Arabidopsis thaliana: one gene and its partners. The protein of the gene in region 1 interacts with the protein of each later gene in a pairwise test. Each region holds a gene or a part of one and is shown in the gene's direction. Other genes may lie near its edges.

Region 1 (6,209 bases):
ATTTAGTTTTGGATTTTGAGGTCCTTAATCAAAGTTTTGTGATATTTGAATTCTTCTCGAGAGTCCAGACTTAGTATAAAGTTCAAACATTTGAAGATTAAAACCTGTAACTATATATACCTACATTTCCATTATGTTAACCCCATCTGCAGATAATTTGAATGGCTCATTTCGTTTCCACGTTACAAATGCTAAATTTATGCTGTGGTTCAAAGGCTAGTTTGTAAATTCAGGTTTCAAGCTGACTCTCTCAGTTTTTTTCCTTTTTTGGTTAGGATCCATCCGTGTGTCCACAAACGATTAACTCTGGAGATGAACTTCTTGAGAAGATGTCAAGCAGATCTTTGGAAGAAGTAATGACACCGTCGGTAGTTGCCATGAACCTCAAACTAAACCTGTCTCCTGTGCCTGACAAGTGAGTCTATCTTTAGATGTGGTTACATGCGAAAACTGAATTGACTATAACTTTGATTTGCTCGTCTATCTAATATTGGCAAGCTTCTCAAAACGCAGTCTTTACATGTTCATAAGAATATTATGGACAGATGTTACTTTCAGTATATGAATAGCTTGTGTTCTGTGATATGACCAGAAGAGCCAATTGTTTCTGTAATGTTAAGTTATACTGTGTATACTTTGCTTTCCATGCAATAACTAATCCACATCTGCAGATCTTCCGAAGAAGCAGAGTACATAAAGGGAAATTCTGATCCGGAGATCCATGATTCTCCTGGCGACCCTGTTAGAAAATTTATTGATGAGGATGCTGAAGAGGAAGATGACAGTGACAATGATTTACTCCGATTTGAGGATGAGGATGATGACGAAGATGAAGACGATGATGATCTCAGGGATATGATTGTCAGTCAATTTAAGGAAGATCCAACTGATAAAGATAGACGTAATGAACTGCATCAGAAGTGGCTCGAGCAACAAGATGCTGCAGGGACAGAGAAACTCTTACAGAAGCTTAAACGTGGTGTGCAGCATGATGAAACATTATTGTCTGAAGATGAAGATGACGATGTTGATGATGATGATGAAGAGAGGCCTGAAGGTGCTGATGGTGAAGAAGTGCAAAAACCTGAAGCCAATGAAGATGAAGATGAAGATGAAGATGAAGAAGATCCAAGTCATGCAAATTCCATGCGAATGACCATAAAGAAAATAAAGGAAATGATCCCTTTAATGTTCACAGATGAAGATGATGTTTATGTGTCATCAGACGATGAGGAAATGGAAAAGAAGCTTCTGCAACAGCGACTGTACAAGAAAATGGTAAGTGATCCCGGTTCAATAGCCCTGTCTGCTCCATATTTTATCATTTGATCCACCATACCTCTCTATATAGTAAAGATTGAAAAGCTTGTTTGATGTTTCGCTTGTGCTGCCCCATTAATATGGATCATTGTTGTTTGGAACAGGAGCTAAAGGCCAAGTCTTCATCATCCACTGCGGATGAAAACTCTGAAGAAATTCTTCGCCACATCAAGAAGCCTGAGATCAAGAAGAAAGCAAAACCTTCTTGTAAGATACCACCCAAGTTTCTCCCTGTATTTGTAATCATCAGCTGAGTTTATACACACATTGCTGATTGCTTCTAACCATTTTGTTTAAATTGTTTTCAGCTTTTAAAGAGAGGGCACTCATGGAAATAAACAAAAACCCTGCAGCATCCAAGGTATAAGCCTTCTTCAGTTACTTTCGTATACCAATAAAGTTCGTAGATACTAGATAGGTCACACTTTGAGACTTCTTAAAAATAGGACAATGAATTGCAACTTTACTAATGCCGTGAATCTTTTGCAGTCATCGTTCTTGGGTAGACTTACAAAGAGTTCCATATCAGAAGGATCTCGCAAGCGCGGTTCAAATGTTGTACGTGGCTATATATTCGAACGCGATGACAGTAACAGCAAAAGCTCAAATTCAGTGGCAGAGGAACCTTCAGTTCCAGAGACGGTAAAGCTCTTCCCTATATAAACATACACATTTCTGGTACACATATTTAAATACCTTCTTAATAACCTATGCAGATTATTCAAGAAAAAAGCCGACCAAAAAGAGCTCCAGCAAAATTCACTGCCTCACAGTCACAAGAGAGATCAACAACATTACAGGCGACGGTGGTGGAGAAGGAGACGAGCACGAGGCAACGATCAACCTTGTACGAGATTCTAAAGATGTCATCAAAGAAAACTTCCTTCAATTCACGCGAGACAATGATAAGCAGCAACCACACTGAGTCTATATTTGCTGCTTTCAAACTGGATAAGAAACCAGTTAAGACAAATCCACAAGTAAACTCCCTCTTCCTCTAATTGAATGTTATTCTTGTATAATCAGATCTCCATTTCTCCAAGTAAAATGGAATATTTAACAGGAAAAGAGATGAATTCAGAGATTTTGTCTTGCACAGTTGCAATGCAACGGCACGTGTGGTGAATGAACGTGAATCACTGGATCGTGACCCTTTTTGTTAACATGTGGCCACCAAAACGGCGTAGGACCGCGCGTTTTGGCCTTTATCTGATCAGACTCAGTCTCGATTCTCAAGTACATAGGTTGGTTGCTGTAACTACAGAGACTTTAGCGAGAGATTAGATCGTCCGTCTTAGTCATTCGAATCTTTTCTTAGAGATTGAGATCAGAATTTTCTATTCAAAGTTTTGTTTTATATATTCAATGTCTACACTATACTATTTCTTTATAATGGATAGGATTCTATTCAAGAATCATTCAACTAACATCCATTAAAGCAAACAGTTTTTATCACATGTTGTAATTTACTGAATAAATATCTTAACCTGGTGACTTTTCTTTCATCCCAAAGATTAAAATCGTAAGGATATATCTCCTTTCTTCCCCTTAAGCTTCGTTGAGACTGAAGAAGAAGACCAGAGACTATAGAGTTTCGGACACAAAAAGATCTCAAATCAGACAACTTTATTTTATTACTCTTAGCTCAACGTTGTTTGACTTACAAAAGAAAATCTCAGATAGATTCTGACCGGATAAATCGTCTTCCTTCCAGATCCGAATTTCTCCATCTCCTGTAGATCTGCATAAATGGCGGTTACTGATTGACTTCAGGAAAATAAAAGGGAGACCTTTCTGCTTCTTTTCTTACCATCTTGAATGGCGGATTCTCAAAACGGCAAGTCCGCATTTTTCTTCTTCTTTGTCTCGCTTATTTTGCTTTTCCTTTCGCCGTCTTATTCGGATGTCACCGCTTCCGAGTCCGATCCGATTCCGTACGAGAACTCAGATGCTTCTCCTGGAGTAGTGACCAGCAGTGAATCCGACAGGCAAGGTGTTTCATTGCATAGACTTGAGGAACTCGTTAGGAATCTTACGGAACTAGTTGCTAGATTAGACGCTAAGTTATCTGAAACTCCGTTTAAGGTAAAGAAAGAGATCACTCGTGATGAGATCGAAGAGAAAGCTAAGGCTTTTTCCGTTACAAAGTATAGTCCTTTCTGGTCTGAGAGATTCGAATTCACATCAGCTGTGAAATTAGACTCTGAAGCGACTTGTATCAACGTGTTACCGTTTCGAGATCACGAAGGTTTAAGCAAGTATTTCGCAGTTGGAGATTCAAGTGGTAGGGTTTTTGTCTTCTTGAGAAATGGCGATGTTTTGGTTGAGTTTTTCACCACCTGCGATTCACCAATCACGGCAATGGTGTCTTACATGTCTGTGTATAAGAATGAGAGCTTTGTGGTGACGGGACACCAAAGCGGAGTCATCTTGTTGCATAGACTCCGAGAGGGCTCGATCGGGGAAGATTTGAATTCCGCTGTGATGGAAAATGTTGGCAAGTTTGATGGCACGGAGGATGGTTTGCAAGTGACTCTATTGGAAGTGCATCATGTGGGTCGGGTTAGGTATATATTGGCGACAGATCTTAGCGGAAAGCTTACGGTTTTCACTGAGAACAGAACGGTTTATGGCTCTGTTAGCCCAACGAGTAGACCGCTTGTGTTCTTGAAGCAGAGGCTTTTGTTTCTCACTGAGACTGGTGCTGGTTCATTGGACTTAAGAAGCATGAAGATCAGGGAATCTGAGTGTGAAGGTCTTAACCATTCTCTAGCAAGAAGTTATGTTTTTGATGCGTCCGAACGGGCTAAAGCTTATGGATTCACATCCGAAGGCGAAATCATTCACGTGTTGCTTCTCGGAGACATTATGAACTTCAAATGTAGAGTGAGATCAAAGAAGAAGGTACAAATGGAGGAGCCTGTAGCGTTACAAGCCATCAAAGGCTATCTACTTATAGTCAACCAAGAGAAAGTCTTTGTATACAATGTATCGACTCAACACTACGTCCGAACCACGGGTCCTCGGCTTCTTTTTCCGGCTGCATTAGAAGATATCAGGTCAACGTTCTTGAGCCATCGAGAATCAACTAAAACCACAGATCACCAGAAGCTAGAAAAGGTAACTCCTTTAATAGCAAGCGACCGCGAAAAGCTGCTTGTGATGGGTTTAGGAGACGGATACGTAGCTACATACAAATCAAAGCTTCCAATCTCCAAAGCAGAATTCAACACAATGCTTTGGAGCAGTCCTGTCTTCTTCTTCATACTTTTCTTATTCGGCGCTTGGCATTTTTTCTCTAAGAAGAAAGAATCTCTCACAGCTTGGGGACCTGACGATCCTTTCTCCTCCACGACAATGTCTTCTTCTTCTACAACAACTGCACAAAATAGTTCCGCATTCTCTGAATCAACTAGGAGAAACGACGACCACATGGATCTTCGGAGAAGATACGTTTCGCCATCTCGGTATCCTCCTGGAGCAGCAACAGGTGCTTACCGTTCAGTAGGGTCTAACGACCCGAGCTCAAGAGCTCCAGTGGAAACTACTAACTACAGAACAACCGCACAGGAGATGAAGTATCGTGGTGGGTCAGGTCTTGATTCTGGCGGATTTGGTAAAAGAAGAGAGAGTTTGTTTGGTAATAACAAAGCTTTAGACGACGAAAGTTAGTTCCTTTTTTTTTCATAGTTCGTTATGTTCTTTTTTTACCGGTCAACGCTTGAAAATTTTCTAATGTGTAAAACTCCGGCGAAGAAATAAAATTTTTACCGGTTGCTTTGTTTCTTCTCCGGTCACTTATTGTTAGTTTAATGCTTCTTAACTGTAATTTTCACAATCTCAAGATTAAGAACAGATTAAAAAAAATTCAAGATCAAATAAATGAAACTGAACCAGAGAGAGACTTGAGGTTAACACGTCAAGATATGGCAGTGTTCTTCATCTTGGTCTTGGTCTTTTTCTTCCTTGTCTTCAGATTCATCTACAGTAATATATGGGTTCCGTGGAGAATCCAATCTCACTTCAAGAAGCAGAGCGTGACGGGTCCTAGTTACCGGATATTCAGTGGAAACTCCGGCGAGGTTAGCCGGCTAACGGCGGAGGCGAAGTCAAAGCCGATTCCTTCCGGGAGAAATCCTCATGAGTTCGTCCACCGTGTGGCGCCTCACTACCACGAATGGTCACGTGTCTACGGGAAGACGTTCCTCTACTGGTTCGGGTCGAAACCTGTGGTGGCTACGTCGGATCCAAGACTAATCCGGGAAGCTTTGACGACGGGTGGGTCGTTTGACCGAATTGGGCATAACCCTTTGTCTAAGCTGCTTTATGCTCAAGGTCTTCCTGGTCTTAGAGGTGATCAATGGGCTTTCCATAGAAGAATCGCCAAACAAGCTTTTACAATGGAGAAACTCAAGGTAACACTAACACACATCAATGTAGAAGCTAAGATCTGTAATTCAGACAACATTGTGCTATTTGGAATCTCAGTCTAGTTTAGTTTAAAAATTACCAAATCCGGAGTGCTTTATAGGATTGTGGCTAAAGCTAAGATCTTTTTTTCTTTTATAGAGGTGGGTGCCACAAATGGTAACAAGTACTATGATGTTGATGGAGAAGTGGGAAGATATGAGAAACGGAGGAGAAGAGATTGAGTTAGAGGTACACAAAGAGATGCACAATTTGTCTGCAGAAATGTTATCAAGAACAGCTTTTGGGAACAGCGTGGAAGAAGGGAAAGGAATCTTTGAATTGCAGGAGCGTATGATGCGTCTTTTTTATCTGGTTCGATGGAGCGTTTATATCCCAGGATTCAGGTAAGTCTTATGGGAAATTTTCCTAGTTTTGAGAACAAGTTTGGAACTAGAACCTTATTGCTCACTTTTTGAGTT
Region 2 (5,724 bases), on another chromosome or scaffold:
AGTAGAGTTGGCATAGGAAACTTGAGAAACAGTAAAGATTGAGATCTAAGAGAAACAAGAGAATCTTTAAGATCACCTGTCTACTTGAGGTAGCTTCCTAGAAGGTTCAGTGGAACAAAGTTGACTAAATATCAAAACTTTCAGCTCTCAACCACCCTAAGAAAATCTATCACAAGCAAAGTATTCAGCACATAAACGCATTCTGGATCCAAAGTAAGACAGCAATACAAGTTACCTCTTCTGAAAGCTTGATCTGGCTCTTTAACACCTCCTAGAGAAACTTGTTATACAAGCTCATGAAGCCTATATACAACAAGTAAAGCTAACTTTAGTTATAATCTCACCCTAAGAATCTAAGTTAAAGTCGGTAGATACTGACTATTCACAAATCATGAAAGCCACCAATAGGAAAGCAGAGAAATATTCTCTCTATCATAAGGAGAAACAGAATTGAGACAGAAAAGACAAGCGCGGGCCCAATTCAACCAACAATACTCATTCACTTGATCACACAAAGTGCAATCTTAAACACTGATAGAAAATTCTCAGTCTTGTCCTTAGGGCTCACATTAAAGATGAATCGAGTTAATGATTGCTGCAGGTTTATAATATCTGCCTGAATATGAAAATCTTCATATACGGCATTAGAAAATGAAAGTAGGCCACACATTTCTTTCTGAAAAAGATGATGAGACATCAAAACTTATAAAACACCAATTCAAAAAAATAATCGAAACTTCACCTAAGAAACTAAACCCAAGTAAGAACCCATTTTCGCAAAAGAGAAGGAGGAGATATTGTAAGAACTCTTTAAAGCAAAAACAGAGCATTGTAATAGAAACAATCAAACCAAGTAAAAACAGAATTTTACATGAGAGATCATCACATTACATTCCCGTCAGATGTAAGATCACACACATACATACACACACAAGACAGAGAAAACGTTGATGATCACGAATTATGAAGACCCATTAGACAAAACAGGACAAAAAACTCGCATTTACAGGGATAATCATAAGGGGAAAATTGAGAAAAACCTTCTCTTTATTCTCGGGAAGTGCAGAGGAAAACAAAATTACCTTGTGGAAGCAACACCGATTAAAGAAATTGGGGAACATGGGAATGGAATGGATCCAAAGAGAAGAAAACGAAACAAGAGATCCCAAAAATGGAATCGGAAAACGAAAGGATTCAACGCCTTCTTCTGGGAAATCAAAGACACGCAGTAACTCTGGCAGAGAGAGAGAGAAAGAAAGAGACCGGAGTTTTTCCATTTCGGTTCGGATTGGTAATAATGGGCTCAGCAAAAATAAAACATCTTGGGCCCTTATGGACCCTCTTACCCTATTTTACCATAGGCTCTACTTTTTTTTACCACCTTTGTTTTAGTTTCACTTAAAATTTTAGTTAAGGAAAAAAAAGTTACCGATTATGTACACTCTACTGTTATTTATTAGACACAACAAAACTTTCAAATATGATGGATTTTCCATCCTATTTTATTTATAAAAGAAAATATTTATATTTCTAACATCAACAAACTCTACCCAAATCAGATTATCCTTCTGAAACTATGCAATTTGTATTGTTTTTCAGGAAACTAGTGATTTTTTGAATAATTGTAATACTTTTCATTCATCAAAAAAACATATTATATCTTTCCTTTTTTTCCATCAAAAACATATTATATCTAAATATCTCATTTTGGGTTGTTTTTTGATAATTAACACTTAAGCCCATATAAAAGAGTCTAGTTCAAACTGAGCCCAGCTACACCAAAGAATCTAGTGGGGGACATGTGGCAGGTAGTAATTTGAGCGTTGACCAAGAAAGGACATTATTATACATCCACCTGGTTAGAGCATGCTTATAGGTGATATTCTCAAAGTATCATTAAAAAAATTTTAGTATTATTTATAATGTTTGTTTAATAGATAAATATTTTTTTTCTTACTTTTAATAAATGCTACCAATCAGGAGATGTCACGTAGATGATACTGATATCAAGAAAATCACTGGAATGATACTAATCAAACTCATTCTAATTGTTTGGTTAATAAAAAAATAATTTTTACACTGATGATATTCTAAAAATATCACTCATGTACATGGTCTTAACCGTTGAAATGTTGGTCGCGGCCTATATATAGAAGAACATAACTCTAAAAATAGCTAAACCCAACCACTTCCCTTGGATTGGAATCTCTCATAAACAGTTTGTTGGTCTGGTCCGCTCCAGTCCATACTCATAAGGTGGTAGATGTTTACTTAGGGTACATCATACATGCACAACGTTAGTAGTTGCAGGCATAGACGTGTTTGCCCTTTATTACGCGAAAACCACTACTCCCTTCGCTAGTCTACTTTCGTCAATTGAACCACTAAACCCAATGAAACCTAATATTTTAGTGTGCTCAATAATTTATCATCATCCCAATTCCCAAGCGTACCAAGATTATAATCTAACTTAACGCGCAATGTCATGACAAAACCTATATACAATGAAAAAGATTTTTCATGACAAACAAAGAAAAAATAAACACGAGAAATGAGTTCTCGTAATAAAGTTGGTGTGAACTGGTTTTTGAACGTGAAGATGACCCCTTCATATTTTTATTTCTTGGTTTTTGCTTGAGAGGGTTAAAGACTCTTAAGGAAGAAATACATTACACGTCAAACCTTTTTGGGAAAACAATGAACGCTTCATTTATAATGTTTCTATTTTTTACTCTTAGGTAAAACATTGCAATTGATAGATGAACAAGAACAAAAGCAGAGGATTAAAAGAAAGATTAAACTATGAAAAAAGGACACGTGTGAAGAGAATTAGAGATTCTGTATTAAGACAGATTAACTAACAAACCAAACCCTACTTGTTCCACTTTCTATTCATACTTAATCTCATTCTCCTCTCTTCCCCTTCATACTTAAATCTTATCATTCATCCATCTTTTAATCATTACTCGAGATTCTGTTTCCATGGCCATATCCTCAAATCTTCTCCTTTGTCTCTCTCTTTTCATTTTCATCATCACCAAATCCGCCTTGGCTCAGAAATGTTCCAACTACAAATTCTCCACCAACCGTCTCTTTGAGTCTTGCAACGACCTACCTGTTCTTGATTCCTTCCTCCACTACACTTACGATTCTTCTTCAGGCAATCTCCAAATCGCGTATCGCCACACAAAGCTCACCCCCGGGAAATGGGTGGCATGGGCCGTGAATCCCACATCTACTGGCATGGTCGGAGCTCAAGCCATTGTGGCTTATCCACAATCAGACGGCACCGTTAGGGCTTATACGTCACCCATCAGTAGCTACCAAACGAGTCTCCTAGAAGCTGAGCTGAGTTTCAACGTCTCTCAGTTGTCTGCCACTTACCAAAACAACGAGATGGTCATCTACGCAATTCTGAATCTTCCACTTGCGAATGGTGGAATCATTAACACTGTGTGGCAAGATGGGTCACTGTCAGGGAACAATCCTCTGCCTCATCCAACTTCTGGCAACAATGTTCGTTCTGTTTCTACTCTTAACCTTGTCTCTGGTGCATCTGGATCCACCTCTACCGGAGCAGGAGGAGCTTCCAAGCTACGCAAACGCAACGTGAGTCCATGGTTTTATCAATTTCTTCATTTCATGTTTTTTAGGAATCTCACATATGAAATGAGATTTATCAATCCCATCATTGTTAGTTGGTTTTATGAAACTTATCACTCCTAATCATTATTGCAGATACATGGAATATTGAACGGTGTGAGCTGGGGTATAATGATGCCAATAGGAGCAATCATTGCTCGCTACTTGAAAGTCTCAAAATCAGCAGATCCTGCTTGGTTCTACCTTCATGTTTTCTGCCAGTCTTCTGCTTACATCATTGGTGTTGCCGGTTGGGCGACCGGTCTCAAACTGGGCAACGAATCAGCCGGGATTCAGTTTACCTTTCACCGTGCTGTTGGGATCGCTCTCTTCTGCCTCGCAACAATTCAGGTAGGTTTTAGTTAACAGTACAGAGAGTATTACACTTGTCATGAATATGTTGCAATTACTAAGTTGCTTGTTTCACACGTTAGGTGTTTGCAATGTTTTTGAGACCCAAACCAGAGCACAAGTACAGAGTCTACTGGAACATTTATCACCACACTGTAGGCTATTCAGTGATCATTCTTGCGGTGGTAAACGTTTTTAAAGGACTAGACATCCTGAGCCCTGAGAAGCAGTGGAGAAACGCTTACACCGCCATAATCGTAGTACTAGGTATAGTCGCGGTTGTGCTCGAAGGGTTTACTTGGTATGTAGTCATAAAGAGAGGGAAAGCAGAGGCATCTGCGAAAACAAGTCAACGAGTAGGCAACGATGGTCGGTCTCTATACGTGTAGACTCTGTAAAGATTAGAGTAAAATGTTCTGGTTTATTTGGTCATTATGGGCTTGTGGTTGTTAATTTTTGTTTGTTTTCGAGATTAAGTTAATACATTTGATGTTTAATAGTTGTTGAAGTTGAAAGACTCTTGTGCTCTTTTACAACATTCATGATGTGAGCTTTTGACAAACCATTTTATTTCATCGACAGTGAAGTAGTGTACATATGAATACATATATCGAATAGATATCTCGTATGTGTATGTGTGTGTGTGTGTGTGTGTGTGTGTGTGTGTGTGGTGAGAAAGTGAGAGGAAGATTGGTTACCTAATGTAAAAAAACAACAAGATGCTTCAAAAATGTCTTTTCGAGTGTTTTAAAAGGGAAGGAAGGATGAATTGCATTAGTTGGTTCAAGCAAGATCTCGAGGTTCAAGGGCTGCGATTTCTCTCAAAACCTGACTTTTGTCTGCTTCAAACCTCTCATCCTCTGTCAACCAAATGAACCAAACAATGCTTTAATAAGGTTAAGGAGCAGAAGGATCGGATACAAGCGTTTCACTTAACAAGATTAGTTTCATACCTTTGTCTGGTTTCAAATCAGCCAACAATCTCAGAAGCTTGCTTCTGTTGGCCACCAGAATGTTGACTATATCCGCAGGCTTGTTTTGGTTCGCTGCAAACAGCTGCACAACAGTGACGATAATCTCAGTACAATCACGTTGGACTGACAAGTGACAATCATCATTATGTTACATCTCGTTAATGTAGGTACCTTAAAGACATGGAATGCTTCTATTTGGATACTCTTGCTTGACTCCTGTAATTCAAGCGATTGAGTTTATTTCCCAAACTATTATAATCAAGAACAAAAAAACGGAGAGTAAAGCATCGTACTCTTAGAAGATTCATGAGAATCCTCAAGTTATCCCTCGAGCTCACATATTTCGTCATCACAGCTGAATTTGATCGATCCAATAATATATCACCCAACAACTGTTTAACATTTACACCATACAGTACATAAGATTGATCAGCCAGTACCATCATTTCAATGTTTTAGATTCTTGTATAAGTTAGCCTACCTTAATAGCTTGCCGTCTGGTTATATAATTACTTGATTCAAGAAGCTTTGAGTTGTAGTCTGCGAAAAACTGCAAACCAAAAAGTTTGAGATTATTATACGACTTGAACGCAGGACCTGCAGAGGATAAATTACAATGTTCTGTCTTCAAGCATATATCATAGTGCATTGTTGCTACATAACTTACCCAGTCTTCATTCTTGGTGAGAAACTCGGCAACAGTAGACTTATGCCTTGTCAGCAGTTCCTGTGAAAATAAATGACAGGTTTGGAGTTA
Region 3 (5,697 bases), on another chromosome or scaffold:
TTATGTACTCTAAATTTTATAACAAAACTAAAAAATAGTTTAAATTTTAATTAATTAAGTACTTTAAATTTAAACTTCTCATTTAAACTCGAAATGATATCCTAACTCTTAAATTTTATATATAAGCAACTTGTATAATTTAAAAAACATTTGGAAGATTTAACTTATTTTTGGAAAAGATAATTAAATTTTTAGAATTTTTTTCTCAATTATTCTAAATAAATCCACTACTAATCCATAATTAAATAAATTACCATACAGTAAAAAAGAGAAAGTAAAAAAACATTCTATGGAAAAACAGAAAAAACATCTTCTGATTAGAGCAGAGACACATGGCCGGCTGAAAATTGTCTGTTTGATATGACTGAATCATGAAAGTTTTTCAGGAAGTACCGTAAATATGTTTTACTTTAGATGACGGATATGCCCCTATTTCCGAGTGAAAATCTATCGTAGAGCTTGGTTATGGTGGGGGTGCTTATGTCATTTACAATCATCTGGTCAACGTTCCCCACACTGACGATTATTGCGCTCTCTAGCTAGTTCAACTTCGAAGTTTTCAAACCAATTAATTTTCTGGCAAATTACCAGAAACACATTTTTCTACTCCTTTTAATTTCAGTGGGTTAAGTCTTAATGTAGACCAAACCTTTTGCAATTATTAGCTACAAACTCTGAGAATGTCATTAACTTTCGCCAAAAAGTTTCAATGTTTTGTCAAAAAGTTGGGATCTATTTTGGGAAGTATTAATTGGTATGTTTACAAAATTCAAAAGTTAAATTTACCCTACTTTGTGGTTGTAGTTTTAAAAAAAAATGCATAGTAAAAAAAAGTAGTGTTCCGAAAATATATATATAGGTAACATGGAGAAACCCTTAATGGGCACGTAAAGTAGTGCCATGAGGATATAAATTTGAATTGCTAAAAATAGTAGTGATCCAGCGCCAGAAATAGTAAGAGACAAAAAATGTTGAAACCAAAAGTGTGTTAAATGAGTTGTAACAGGACGAAGATAGCGATGAGACAGAGAGCTTAGAGAAAGTGAGAGGACAAGAAGAAGAAGATAAAGAAGAGGAAGACAAGGAACAATGTAGCCCTGTCTCTGTACTTGACCCTCTTGAGGAGGAGGAGGAGGACGAGGACCACCACCAACACGAGCCTGATCCTCCCAATAACCTCTCTTGCAGCTTTGAAATTGTACAACGTGAGTATCCAATCTTCCATCACATCAAATAATGGGCCAAAGTAATTGAATACAAACTGGTCCCGGAGATCGTTTTAAGGGTTTTAATGTTGTATGTTTTGACTAAACAGGGGCTAAAAGGCGGTTACTCAAGAAGCTTCGTAGATTCGAGAAGTTAGCGGGGCTGGATCCTGTGGAGCTTGAAGGGAAAATGTCGGAAGAAGAAGATGAAGAAGAGGAAGAGTATGAGGAGAGCGAGGAAGATGATAACATTAGGATTTACGATTCAGATGAAGAATATGAGGACGTGGATGAAGCGATGGCACGAGAGAGCAGATGCGCGGAAGATGAGAAGAGGAAGAAGAATGATGAGAGGCAAAAGAAGTGGAGGATGATGAATGCATGGAGGGTAGGGTTGGGAGCTGAGGAAGACGTGGACGCGGTGGTGCGGAAAGATTTGAGAGAGGAGGCCGGAGAATGGACAAGACACGGTGGAGAAGTGGAAGAGGCTGTGTCCGATCTCGAGCACTCTATCTTCTTCGTCTTGATTGATGAATTTTCCCGCGAACTTGTCTCTTCTTTTCTATGAACAAATAATGAATTTTGTTAAGAGACACGAGAAAAATTAGTAGATTTTTAGATATCATTGACTTGATAAACCAGAATAACCTTTATAACGTTTACCCTGTGTTTTCTTATCACTTAAAACGCTTCTAGAAAAAGTCACAAGTCACAACGATAAGCGACCATTGGCTTATGCCAAGCTAGTACTAGGAAATTTTATTTTGCTCAAAGCCTTAACCAACTATATATACGCTTCCTTTTTTCCCCCCAAAGCTACTATACGCTTTTTCTTCTTTCCCAAACAACTATACGCTTTAGGTTATTTGATTTGGTTTGGTTTATCTGGTTGATCATTCATACTCCCAAAACAAATTAGATCATGCCTATACAATTTTCATGCCTAATTAAAAAAACTCACATTGAAGGACTAGGAAAGGTACCCACGTCTGAATTGCGTGTTCCTCACGAACGAATGAAATTTCATTTTGATATACGTATTTATTGTTATTTAGTCATACGTATGAACGTAACACGTTACAACAATATATATCTCTACTACATAGTATTATCTTCTGTTTTTATATTACCAACATATTTTTGCTTAAAATCATTGCCTAACATATGTTCTTTTTTATATGGATTGGTTTGTTATACATGATATTATGTCAAATTAGTAATATTATTACTGAAAATACCAATTTACAAACGGATTGATTGATTTGTGTTATTTCAAATGTAAATTTGTTAACAATTTGTTATATAAAAAAACTGCCAAATTATTTTGTTTGTGAATAATGATTTTAGGGTCGGGTTCGGACATTTAAGAATAAGGCTTCACTCGGACTCGGACATGGCTGTCCCCTGACACTTACGTGATACCAACTGATACTTTCTAACATATTATCTATCTTATATAATGTTTATTGGGGGAATACTGTATCACTTTCTTATAACTCTAGAGATAAAACATTAAGAAAAATCTCTACTAGTTCTTCAAAAACAATTCGGAGCGAGAACATGGATGGACCAAGTCATGAACCATGACTATTAATTAAGTCTTCATTGAAAAATCTACATCAAAGTTTTAAATAAATAATATCAAGCTTAAAATGAACCACCTTCCATTATGTGACGATGATGTGGACCAACAAAAGAAATATACCAATCACAAAGACCAGTTTAGTCCCAAAACTACCCCTTATCACTTTTTTATAGATCATTTCCATTAATTTCACACCAATCAAAATGGTGGATGCGGCGGAGCAACCACCTTCTACCTCCGAGGGAGAAAGCCTCCTCAAGATCCACATTGAGAGGATGCATAAGAAGCTGAAGGAACCACCACGGTTGCTCAGTTCGGCCGCCGGGAAACCTACTTGCTCCATCTTCCGGGTACCTCAGAGCATGATTGATTGTAATGGAAGATGCTATGAGCCACGAGTGGTCTCGATTGGACCGTACCACCGTGGCCAAACACAACTCAAAATGATTGAAGAACACAAATGGCGTTACCTAAACGTTCTGCTCACTAGAACCCAAAACCTAACTCTAGAGGATTACATGAAGAGCGTGAAGAACGTTGAGGAAGTGGCGAGAGAATGTTACTCCGAGACAATCCACATGGACTCGGAAGAGTTCAACGAGATGATGGTTCTTGACGGTTGCTTTCTCCTTGAGCTGTTTCGCAAAGTGAACAATCTTGTTCCTTTCGAACCAAACGATCCACTTGTGGCCATGGCTTGGGTTCTTCCTTTCTTCTACAGAGATTTTCTCTGTCTTGAGAATCAAATCCCTTTCTTCGTTCTAGAAACTTTGTTCAATCTCACAAGAGGAGACAACGAAAACGAGACAAACGCTTCTTTACAATCTCTAGCGTTTGCGTTTTTCAACAACATGATGCACAGAACAGAGGAAGATCTCGCCAGGTTCAAAGAGCTAAGAGCCAAACACCTCCTCGACCTCCTCCGGTCAAGTTTCATCCCGGAGAGTGAGCTTCACACGCCGCCGGCAACGAATCCAGGGAAGGAAAAGATGCCGTCCCACATTATCCACAGCATTTCGAAGCTCCGGCGAGCCGGGATCAAACTCCGAGAGCTGAAAGACGCAGAGAGCTTCTTAGTGGTGAGATTCAGACACGGGACCATCGAGATGCCGGCGATCACCGTCGACGATTTCATGAGCAGTTTCTTAGAGAACTGCGTGGCATACGAGCAATGCCACGTGGCGTGCTCAATGCATTTCACGACATACGCGACGCTCCTAGATTGTCTGACGAATACTTACAAGGACGTTGAGTATCTATGCGACCAAAACATCATAGAAAACTATTTCGGAACAGATACAGAGCTGGCGAAATTCGTGAACAGTTTAGGCAGAGATGTGGCGTTCGACATAACACAGTGTTATCTCAAAGACTTGTTTGAAGAAGTGAATGAGTATTACAAGAGTAGTTGGCACGTGGAATGGGCTACTTTCAAATTCACTTACTTTAACTCTCCTTGGTCTTTTGTCTCTGCTCTTGCTGCTCTTGTTCTTTTGGTCTTGTCCGTTATCCAGACTATTTACACTGTTTTCCAGGCTTATCAAAAATAAATTTTTCAACCTTTTCATTATTATATTGCAGTTCAAACAAATGTGTTGATATGATTTAATGAAGTAAAATGAGAATTCGTGTATTTAAAACCCTACTTCTATTATTGAGTAGTACAATTATGTGTTTGTTGGGATTAGTTGTCCAAACATGCATCGATAGTGTTTTTCGAGTAATAAATAAATGATGTTGAGATGTATCATGTATGATATATTTTTTTTCCAGAAAAATTGGTTTACATTATTAAAAGATTATACGAGATGAGATTGTGTATCAAGAGAGTTATAAATATTAATGACAACTATTCTATAATTCAATAAATAAAGGGTTCAATTATTAGCAAAAATACGTGTTTGTTTGATAGGTTGACTGCAGGAATTGGTCAATTTAGTAGAAATGTCAACGATCCTCAATGTTTCAGTCAACGAACAGCTCATGCTTCATAAATCAAAGTGAATAGTAAAACCCTGGACTTTTGGTAATTTCCTGTAACTAACATAATAACATTTGACACATATTTTATTTCCATATCTGGAACTTTCTGACCAAATATTTAGTACTTTTACATAATCAATGCATAAAAATAAAAAAATTGATTCGGTGCTTCATTCTAAATATTGAATTAAAGAATGCAATCTTGTCGTGATAATGTGTTAACGTAAATCTATCTATCAGGACTAATTTCCCTCTGCTATGAACGTTAAAAACTTTGTTTAGACAAATGATTTATTTTGAATATTAATATATAGAAATCATCCATAAAAATGATCAAACATGCGAAGAGGGGAATCCGAGTATGAGTACTGAAGACTTTTCCCACGACTCTCGAAATAACTATGTTTGAGTTTCTTTTTACCAAGTCTCTCGAAAAAGACTCGGTCGTAATTTCTTCTTCTTCAAATAATGTCTTAACTTAAGCAAGCCGCAATGCATATATAAACACACAATCCAATACACATTTTTCAAGAAACATACATAAATTCCACAACTACACACAATCCAAATATACTTTTGATATTCTCCTTCATCTTAAATATCGTTTCCAAGCTCGTCATTTTGTGAAATCATTCTCGTTTTTACACGAACGCAATAATGAGCGGCAAAACATCGATCACTAGCAGGTCAGACGAATTTCAAAGGCAGATAGATCATAAAGAGATGCCTCGAGATCACCAAATTGAAAGGCACACTCATATTCACACGACGCGTTACCGAGGGGGCAGTCTAGTTGAGGAGGTCATCGAGAAGCTTGAGAGATTCAAAGTACGTACGGTTAACATCTTGGTGGGAGGAGAAGATGACGAACAGAAGAAATAAAACAATTACCAAATATTCAAATTCATTCATTCATTCATTTCT

What was found. Proteins that work in one complex are often made in the same cells at the same time.
Region 2: the proteins of AT1G75140 (region 1) and AT5G47530 interact in a protein complementation assay, tested with the Arabidopsis thaliana proteins (one large-scale study listed by BioGRID).
Region 3: the proteins of AT1G75140 (region 1) and AT2G36430 interact in a protein complementation assay, tested with the Arabidopsis thaliana proteins (one large-scale study listed by BioGRID).

What each region holds. Positions count from the first base shown.
Region 1 is NC_003070.9:28,200,949-28,207,157, reverse strand, and holds AT1G75140 (uncharacterized protein), read left to right. Parts: upstream 1-2,795; 5' UTR 2,796-3,138; coding exon 3,139-4,992; 3' UTR 4,993-5,105; downstream 5,106-6,209. Other genes in the region: AT1G75150 (DNA ligase-like protein), read left to right, coding at 276-415, 672-1,278, 1,425-1,527, 1,629-1,681, 1,810-1,962, 2,037-2,300, 2,420-2,449; CYP721A1 (cytochrome P450, family 721, subfamily A, polypeptide 1), read left to right, coding at 5,247-5,735, 5,890-6,134.
Region 2 is NC_003076.8:19,278,489-19,284,212, forward strand, and holds AT5G47530 (Auxin-responsive family protein), read left to right. Parts: upstream 1-2,885; 5' UTR 2,886-2,982; coding exon 2,983-3,609; intron 3,610-3,738; coding exon 3,739-3,993; intron 3,994-4,076; coding exon 4,077-4,382; 3' UTR 4,383-4,573; downstream 4,574-5,724. Other genes in the region: AT5G47540 (Mo25 family protein), read right to left, coding at 4,777-4,853, 4,947-5,049, 5,139-5,183, 5,261-5,359, 5,449-5,517, 5,635-5,694. UniProt on the Arabidopsis thaliana protein: May act as a catecholamine-responsive trans-membrane electron transporter.
Region 3 is NC_003071.7:15,287,218-15,292,914, forward strand, and holds AT2G36430 (transmembrane protein, putative (DUF247)), read left to right. Parts: upstream 1-2,757; 5' UTR 2,758-2,993; coding exon 2,994-4,340; 3' UTR 4,341-4,546; downstream 4,547-5,697. Other genes in the region: TRM27 (nucleolin-like protein), read left to right, coding at 1,007-1,205, 1,316-1,773; AT2G36440 (uncharacterized protein), read left to right, coding at 5,431-5,655.